2 linked regions of the Drosophila melanogaster genome follow. The protein of the gene in region 2 interacts with the protein of the main gene of each other region in a pairwise test. Each region holds a gene or a part of one and is shown on either strand. Other genes may lie near its edges.

Region 1 (5,167 bases), on a different chromosome or scaffold from region 2:
GTGAAATGCCAGCAGCGGTTGGTAATTTCAAATGCTGAACAAAAGAATTATGCCATTTGCTATGGAACGACTAGCTCATGAAAAGAAACCACATACACATCGACTGCGTTTCTAGTGTAATCAAATAAGAAGTGCGTCTCGCTGGCCGCTGCTTTCATTTCTGCTTACCAAAAACGGAGCTCGGTGAAATTTTCTGTGTATATTTGGCTTTTTTTTATTTTTTTTTATTTTGTCTTGTGTCCACTTAGCTGCGGGCTGCCAAGGCCCATCGGCTTGGCGCTTCTGGCCACATGTCCCCATCTGGCTGTCCAGCTAAGCCCAGCTCATTAGCTCAAAACGAAAGACTTAGGGCACAAACTCGATGGGCAGGCGTGCGCATCGCCTGCCGCTGAGGGCCGCCTAATTGTTTCAGCAGCTGCCATTGCAGGTTCAATACAACCATCAACGGCAATTTCTCAATTGCAAATGCCGAATGCAAATTACAATAATTACGGCGAGCCATTTTGCGCTACTCTACGCAGGCAGCCTCATCCTATCACCCCATCATCAACTTCTCCTGACAGGCGATCTGCCCGGCAAACCTGTATAAACCAGAGCGGCCCCAGAACGTGAAATGCAAATAACGCAACAGGCTTCCTACTGCCTACAGATCATCTGTGGCCGCAAGACAAACGTGCTCCACCCCTCCAATGCCCCCCACCGCCCTCCCAGCTGTCGAGTGCGTTTTAGACCAAAGACAGGCGGACTGGCAGGCCTCCAACAATAAGGAAGAGCCGTGTGTGGTTGTCGCAGGGGGGTCGACCCTATGGTACTTATCACAAAATATATAAAATCTAACATAGAGTAACCTGAATGAACATAAAAACTGCATCACTTGTATTTGGTCAATCTCAGCTTGTATGATACTTTTAACTGAATAAAACTATCCCTTATATAATTAACTCCCAGTCCATCTAACCCCTGTTACCCACGACTTGCCATTGGCATAACCACAATCAGACCAGTTCTTTAAACCGAAAAGCAAAAATCGTTTGCCGAGGAGCCAAAGGAAGCTGGAGCAAGCAAAGTTCTGCTTAAGATTGCCTTTTCTCGGTCGCTGAGGGAAAAGCAGAAGCAGTCGGCAGTGGCAGCGCAATTGAAACACTTGTACTAAGCTGCTGTTGCTCCTGCTGTTGGTGGTGGTGGTGGTGCTGGTGCCCCAACTCTTGTGGCACGCCGCTTTGGCTCGCTTGCATTTTACAGGAATTTCAATAAATTTACAGAGGAGGGAGCGACTTTTGCTTTGGACTCGTTTCGAGCTTTGGCCGTGTTTGCGGCGCTTGAACTGGCTGCTCTTGTTTTGCAGCCTCTGCTGGTGCAGTTAGTTGCAGTTATGCGCATCTATCGGCTGCTCGGTATCTGTATCTGAATCTGTATCTGTATCTTAGCACATGCATCTGAGTCTGTTGCTGTTTCTGTTTCTGTGACCGCAGTGAGTTGGCGCTTAATTGACTTGTACGCGGTAGAAAGTGCACAAGCACTTTGGGCACAACCACTGGCACAGGGGAAAAAAGAGCCGGCGTATCTGGCGGATGCGTATCTGAGTCTCGGATCTTTTGCATTTACTTGCGTTGGCTGCCAGTTGACGTCGAGCTTCGGTTCACTGCTGCCAGCTATTTTGGGTCATTTCATTTAATTCGCTGTTACCATATGAGTGTGATTATAACTCTTACGTTTGTGGCTCGTTCGTTTTATGAGTTTCTTCACTTTTGACACTGGCTCTCGGCCTTTTTCCGCAGTTCTACCTTTCGCTTCTTTCAAAAAAAGATCACACAAAGCACTGTTAGCCGCCTGGGAAAATTTGTTTCCCGAGATTCGTTTCCTTTCCCGGTTGGGATTTCGTTGCTTTGGTTTTGGCTTGTATTCTTGCACTTGAACTTGCCTCGGGACTTTGGGTCAGGCCAATTATTTCACTCACACTCGCACACACACACGCACACTCGCTAAGTCCCCGAGTACAGACGCACTCGCACACACACACACAGTCGCGGAAGACGGAAGACGAGCAGAAGACCAAGTTAAGAGCGCGACAAGTTGCGCACGTCTGCGGTGTGGAGCTCACACAAAAGATCCACAAACCAGGTGAAGCCACTGCCTCTGCCACTGGCACTGCTGCCGTCGCTGCCGCTGCCCGCTGCGACTGAGATTTGGCCACGCCGGCAGAGCTGAAGAACTTGGTAAGACGAAATTGGTAAGTTAGCTGATTCTCTCTCTCTCGCTCGCACGCTCATTCCGGCTCAAAGTTAAAGTCAAAGCCAAAACCAAAACCAAAACCAAACCACCAACATGTGCGCATGCGTGCAGTCGGCGTCGACTGCGCTACGCGCATAACGGTTTTCATTAAGGCCAACACCGAGAACGGCCAAAAGCTAGGCGCTGTTTCTGTTTCTGTTTCTTATTCAAATGAACCTCTCTCTCTTTTGGCCACCTCTCTCTTTTTGAGGCGGCTCACAGCTGATTGGCGGCACAAGGTGTTTGGCGGGGGGTGGTGGCGGTTGTGGCGGGGGGAGTTTGGGGTTAACAGCGCTTTCACATTAAAATAGCAAGAAGCAGAAGACAGCACAAACACACACACGCACACATGCACACATCGTGGCTTTTTCTTTTAATATATATATTTTGTGTTGCAAATGAGTGTGTTTTTGCTGCTGCTCGCCATTCTTTGTCACCTGTGCGAGTGTGAGAGTGTGTGAGTGTGGGGGGCCACCGTTTGTTTGTCTTTTAATTTATGCACGTCGTCAGGTTAAGAAAGTCAATCTTTATTATGCTGCGGCTCTCACAGGCAAACCAGTTGGCTGATAAGAATTGCATGGTGACTTCCTTGGCTTTTAAGTACGTTTTCCGAGAAACGTATGGGAAGAAACTTCTAAGGAGCAGCACTTCTGGGGAAAAACACTTTGCTCATTTCAGGAAGGGAAATATTGAACTTCTGCTACAAATTAAAGCTGGCTTCTAGCTTCTTTTGTCCTTTAATCAATGCACAAATTGTAGGAATTTTTCTTTTGTTTAGGTACTGCGACCATCACACGCTCTAATCCACACATCATTAGGTCTTGTGAAAAGGCCATTTAGACTGCCAAAGAAACACATTTATACAGCACACAAGAATCGCGCCTCACAACATCTCTGTTTAATGAAGCAAGCAAAACAAAACGCACAATTAACTATCAACCACTGACTGACTTGGCGATGACGCGTGTCTTTGGCCGTTCCTTGAACTCGAGAGACCTTGACACTGGGGCTGCTCCACAGCAACTGAGGCCTGGAAAGCCAAGCGATCCCCGATTCTTTGGCCAATTGCCCGAAGAAGTGGATGCCAATGTGGATGCTAAGAGCGAGGCCTGGTGAGAGAGGAGAGCTGCTGATAAGCTCCTTTTCGATTCTTCTCCCCCTGATTATGTTATTGAGTTTTGATGCCCAGCGATGATACTGGTCATTGGTTACTGCTTGGTGGCCAGCGGAAGTCGGGCTCATTAGAAATTCAGATCATGCTCAGCATGTGGCACCTGTTGCACGGCCATGGACCCAGTTTTGGATTTCCCGCGCTATCTCAGAAGATATCTCTGTTTGATGTTCGTGCCTGTTCTGGCATTTCTGGCTAATGTTTGCTGCCTCTGTTTCTTATTTGCCCAACAAGATAAACACAGATTCCAAACCATTTCGAAATCATGTTCTTTGTGCATCATCTGTATATTGATTGAGATGCTGCCTGAAAGTATGCAGCTTGTTTTTATTTACCCAAGACGCGAACCACGTCAAATGGAAATTGCAATGTAAAAGTTAAATTCTGTTGCATGAATTTCAGCGAGTTAATGCAGGTTTTATAAAGTTTTAAAAAGTTGTAATTAAAATTATCTTTGATGTTCACATCAGACGTTTGTCAATAAAAAGCCATGGTATTTTGGTACATTTTGTTTTTATTTTTAAAACATAATTATTGGTATCAATACGATGTCAGTGAAAGTGGATCGCAAATGTAGGAATTATTCGAACAGTGTTTAATAAATATAGAAAACTTAAATAGAATGCGTGGAATGCAATGAAGTCGAATGAAGGGTGGAGGGATCGAACGGTTGGACTGATTGAGTCGAGGAACCCTAGGATGTGGAGTATGATAAAATAAATACAAGGCCCCAAGGACCTCGGTCTTACACACTAGCAACCCCGAGTCGTAGAGGAATCACATGGCCTGGCTGACGGCATGCATCTCCGCAGCGGACGCACACCTGCGCGTTGGCGCCTACGCGTTGTCATTGGCCATAACCTTGTTGATCCAGGGCACGAAACGCTGGATGTTCGTATAGACGCCGGGCAGGTGTTCCCTCCCACAGCCAATGCCCCAGGACACCAATCCGATCAGGGTCTTGCGACCGTCCATGGTCAATGTTAGTGGACCACCACTGTCGCCCTGACACGAATCCCGGCCGCCATCCTTGTAGCCTGCGCACAAGAAGACCTGGACGAAAAGAAGTTGCTCAATGTAGATCTTTTTTAAGGGAAGACCTATGCCGGTCTTAAGTCTATGCCAATGTTTACTCACATCGTGGATGGCCTCTCGGCGACCCGCTGCCCGGAACCATCGCTGACAGCGATCATTCGAGATCACCTCCACGTCCACCTCCTGCAGTACGGAGGGAACTGTGCTCTGGCCGTGTCGGGTTCGCCCCCACCCAGCCACAGTGGCCATTTTACCAGTCAATTTGGTGGTGGAAGGAGGCAGACAGACGGGTATGATGTGCTGCTTGTAGACCACATTCCTGTCCAAGCGGATCAGAGCCACGTCATTTACAAAGTCTGCCGGATTGTAATGGGGATGCACTTCCTTTCGCTCGATGCCATACTCTTCGTGGTTTAGGCGCTCCTCCTGACCACGAACATCCCACTCGCCCAATCGGATTTTCATATTGGAGTTTGGAGTGCTGCGAAGGAATCAAAGATATATAAGTATGCTTTGAAAAGATTTCCATTCAATTTTTGCTGTACTTACGAAGCCACACAATGGGCAGCCGTTATCACCCATCGATTGGAGATCAGTGCACCGCCGCAGCTGAGTTTCCTAGTGAGGAACCCACTTTTGATCAGCGCCACCTGCCAGGGATGAGAGCCAAAGCCCGTGGAATGTCCTCCT
Region 2 (3,276 bases):
ATGGGAGGTGGTCCCATCTCTGTGCTCTCGCTTTTCACTGTTTGTTTCCTGTTGCGAATTTGTTTTCCACACCTTTGGGCGCCCATTAAATGTGGAGCAACACCACCCGTAGGCCAAATATCGGAGCATGAAAGTGCCGAACAATTTGTTTACGGCATCACAGTCATCACAAAAAAATGTTTTTGGTACGTAACAGCTTTGCACCATTTTGACGTCATTGCTTCATATGTCTAATTTGATTACGCAGCACTCTCGCTCAATTGGGTCAATGTCAATTAAATTGCTTAATTTAATTAAAACATACTTAAAGTAAATAGAGATACCTCCAAATTTGTTTTCACTTCTTTATGGCGAAAGAACTGACCTTCGCAATAGAATTTGCGATGCTTTTGGCCCTGACAACATGAGATGACCAAAACAATGATAAGCTTTTAGCTTAACAGTGATAAAAAGTGTTTTATTGCTGGAATTCTTAAGAAATTCTTTTTCGTCTGCTGACTTGTCTACTAACAATAAATTATGTTAGTTATATAACAAAAAGGACAGATAGAAAATTAATGGAAGAGCGAAATTAAATGTGGATTGCTTTGTGCATGATTCGTACGTTCACCATTTGGTAAATCTAGGAATTGTAAAACATTTATGCCCTAGATGAGATTCAAATAAAATCTTAATGATCAATGTTATCTACAAAGTTTCACTTTAATAGGGAAACTTCTTTTATCATTGAAACAAACTATTTATATAAGTTACAAAAATCGTGGTTTATTTAATAGTTTAGACATGAGGTAGTGAAAGCATTTTAAATTAATTCAAAAGTTCTATAGCGGACTGTCCCTATCGCATTCGACGGAATCACCCACTTCGCAGAGATCCACGCAGTATTTGCCCGATTTAATCGAGCAGATCTTGTTGTCCTTGCACTTGGTGACCTGGCCAGTTAGGTTGGTGCCATCGCACATCTGGAAGGTGGTGCGACTGGTGCAGACGAACATGCTGTTTCCATCGCAGGTGGGGCAGGATCCATCGGCAGTGCCTGAGCAGGAGCTATCCACTACACTGCTGTCCATGCAGATGATTGCCAGGTCGGTGCAGACCTTGTTATCCGGACACTGAAGGACCTGATTGGGCGCCACATTATCGGAGCAAAAGCTATAGTGCGTTTCATTCAGGCATTTCACATTGTTGGCTTGGCAACTGTTGCACACTCCTTGGACCAGAACTGCCATCGAGCTTACAACCACAATGAGGCACTAAAAATTATAAATTTGTTAAAACTTTTTCTCAAAATAAATTGCACATTGTCTTACTAGGTTTCTTAGGATTTGGGATTGCTGCATTATGCTGACTTTGAATGTGACTAACGGACTAACTGTGATATCCAACAGCTATAGGGCTTTTATAAGAACTGTCTCTAGAAAACAGAAGATAGCTTTAGCGTTTTATGCCGTAGATTAGGTATGCTAAAGATCTTAGAATATATGATACTGTTTGCCCCGTAGCGCTCCCGTGCTACTCGAAGATTGCGCTACTGGGAAGAGCAGTTTTATGGCATTCCACGGCATTGAAAGATAAATGTTATGGCCCCGAGATCATCACAGAGATATGGCCCCAACCCGGGGTTTATAAAGCTGTGCAGTTGCTCCTTAGAGATTTAATTGTAATTTCAGAATGAAAGCGTTCATGTTGATCGTACTACTGAGTGCTCTTGTGGCACCGTCAATTGTCAGTGCCGCATGTGGCCAGTGTGTGGATGCGCACAGTTGCATCGGTGAATCGGAGTTTCAGTTGTGCTACGATGGTATGTTTTAAGAACTTTCAATGATCTTCCATCATAGATCGTACTTTTAGGTGTCCGGGACCAGACTATCAACTACACTTGCCCCGAATCAAAACCCATTTGCACAACCTACGGAATTATTTGCATGCCCAACGGCACGAGTATAGAACGCGGCTGTGGTGATGTCTCCAATTGTGGTGTTTGCTCAGAATCCACAACTTTTGCCTGTACTTCAAGGACCACATTTGCTGTTTGCAACGGTGATGTTGTTTCCGCCAATAGTTTCGACTGTGCAGAAGACTTTGTCTGCAGTGTTAAAAATGCAGCCAGCGGAAGTCCTTGTATTTCCCGGTGTGACTCATCAGACTCAGATATTTGTGATCGAGTTTTGGAACCCGAAGTGGAAAGCACCACGGCATCAGTGACTCCCACTGTCACATCCACAGTCACTCCCATTGAGACTACTGCAGACCCATCCACAGTCATCACTGATTCATCGACAGGATCAACTGGGGATACCTCCACTGGATCGTCTTCCGTAACTTCGTCGGACACATCAACGGACAGCACCGTGACTGTCACTGATTCAGGAAGCACTACCCAAAGTACTGCAACAACTCCAGCATTCAATGAAGACACCTATTGCCAAGAGATCAACTCAACGGGTCGCTATCCCATACCCAATGACACAGTGTGCACTAGGTAATAACCACATCCTATTTTTATTTATTCTGAAGACAATAATCATTTTCTTTGATTTTTTCAAGCTACATCTACTGTGTTCTAAGGAGTGGAAGCTGGGCAGGATTGCTCTATAATTGCAACGTGCAGAGACCTTATTTCGATGCTGATGTCTTCAGCTGTGGTACTGTGAAGCCATCTTATGCCGGATGCACTAATTTAGTCTAAATCGATTTAATATGTCACTCTAATATATAGTACGCCATTTTATTTAGTAAACGAAATTAAAAACGGTACTTTAATGAATAGAAATATTTCCTCTCTAAAAAAAGGTAAAAAAAAACTTGTATTTCGTTCTTCCTTTTAGTATTGTATTTTGGAGCTTTATATTTATACATCCAAGGGGGACTCTCTGTCGCACTCGAATCCATTTTGAGATTTCGTTATTTCACACTGATCTACGCAAAACTTTTTCGACTTCATGGAGCAGAAAGTGTTATCCTTGCACTTCGTTACTTGGCCGATGAGCTTGCCTTCATCACACATTTGGAAGGTGGTGCGGCTAGTGCAGACGAATAGACCTGCTCCACTGCAAGGAGGACACGATATTTCGGCATCTGGAGTGCAGGAAGCTGGAGTCGATCCCTTGGGCAGGCAGATCTTCAGGAGGCTGGTGCAAACCTGGCCGTCGGGACACTGGATAACCTGATCCGACGAAACGGCGTCGAGGCAAAAACTAAAGTGGGTCTCGTTCAGGCACTTGACATGATTTGGTTGACACACATTGCATTTTATGTCCCCGAGAACATGGACTG

The links.
Region 1: the proteins of CG13311 (region 2) and Np interact in a two-hybrid assay, tested with the Drosophila melanogaster proteins (one large-scale study listed by BioGRID).

The regions. Positions count from the first base shown.
Region 1 is NT_033778.4:9,003,292-9,008,458, forward strand, and holds the start of Np (notopleural), read right to left. Parts: upstream 3,297-5,167; 5' UTR 3,198-3,296; intron 2,086-3,197; exon of another isoform or gene 1,713-2,085; intron 1-1,712. Other genes in the region: CG8172 (uncharacterized protein), read right to left, coding at 4,280-4,495, 4,580-4,958, 5,027-5,167.
Region 2 is NT_037436.4:8,800,789-8,804,064, forward strand, and holds CG13311 (uncharacterized protein), read right to left. Parts: upstream 1,377-3,276; 5' UTR 1,341-1,376; coding exon 1,311-1,340; intron 1,254-1,310; coding exon 822-1,253; 3' UTR 752-821; downstream 1-751. Other genes in the region: CG34426 (uncharacterized protein), read left to right, coding at 1,684-1,801, 1,852-2,482, 2,548-2,689; CG32023 (uncharacterized protein), read right to left, coding at 2,852-3,276.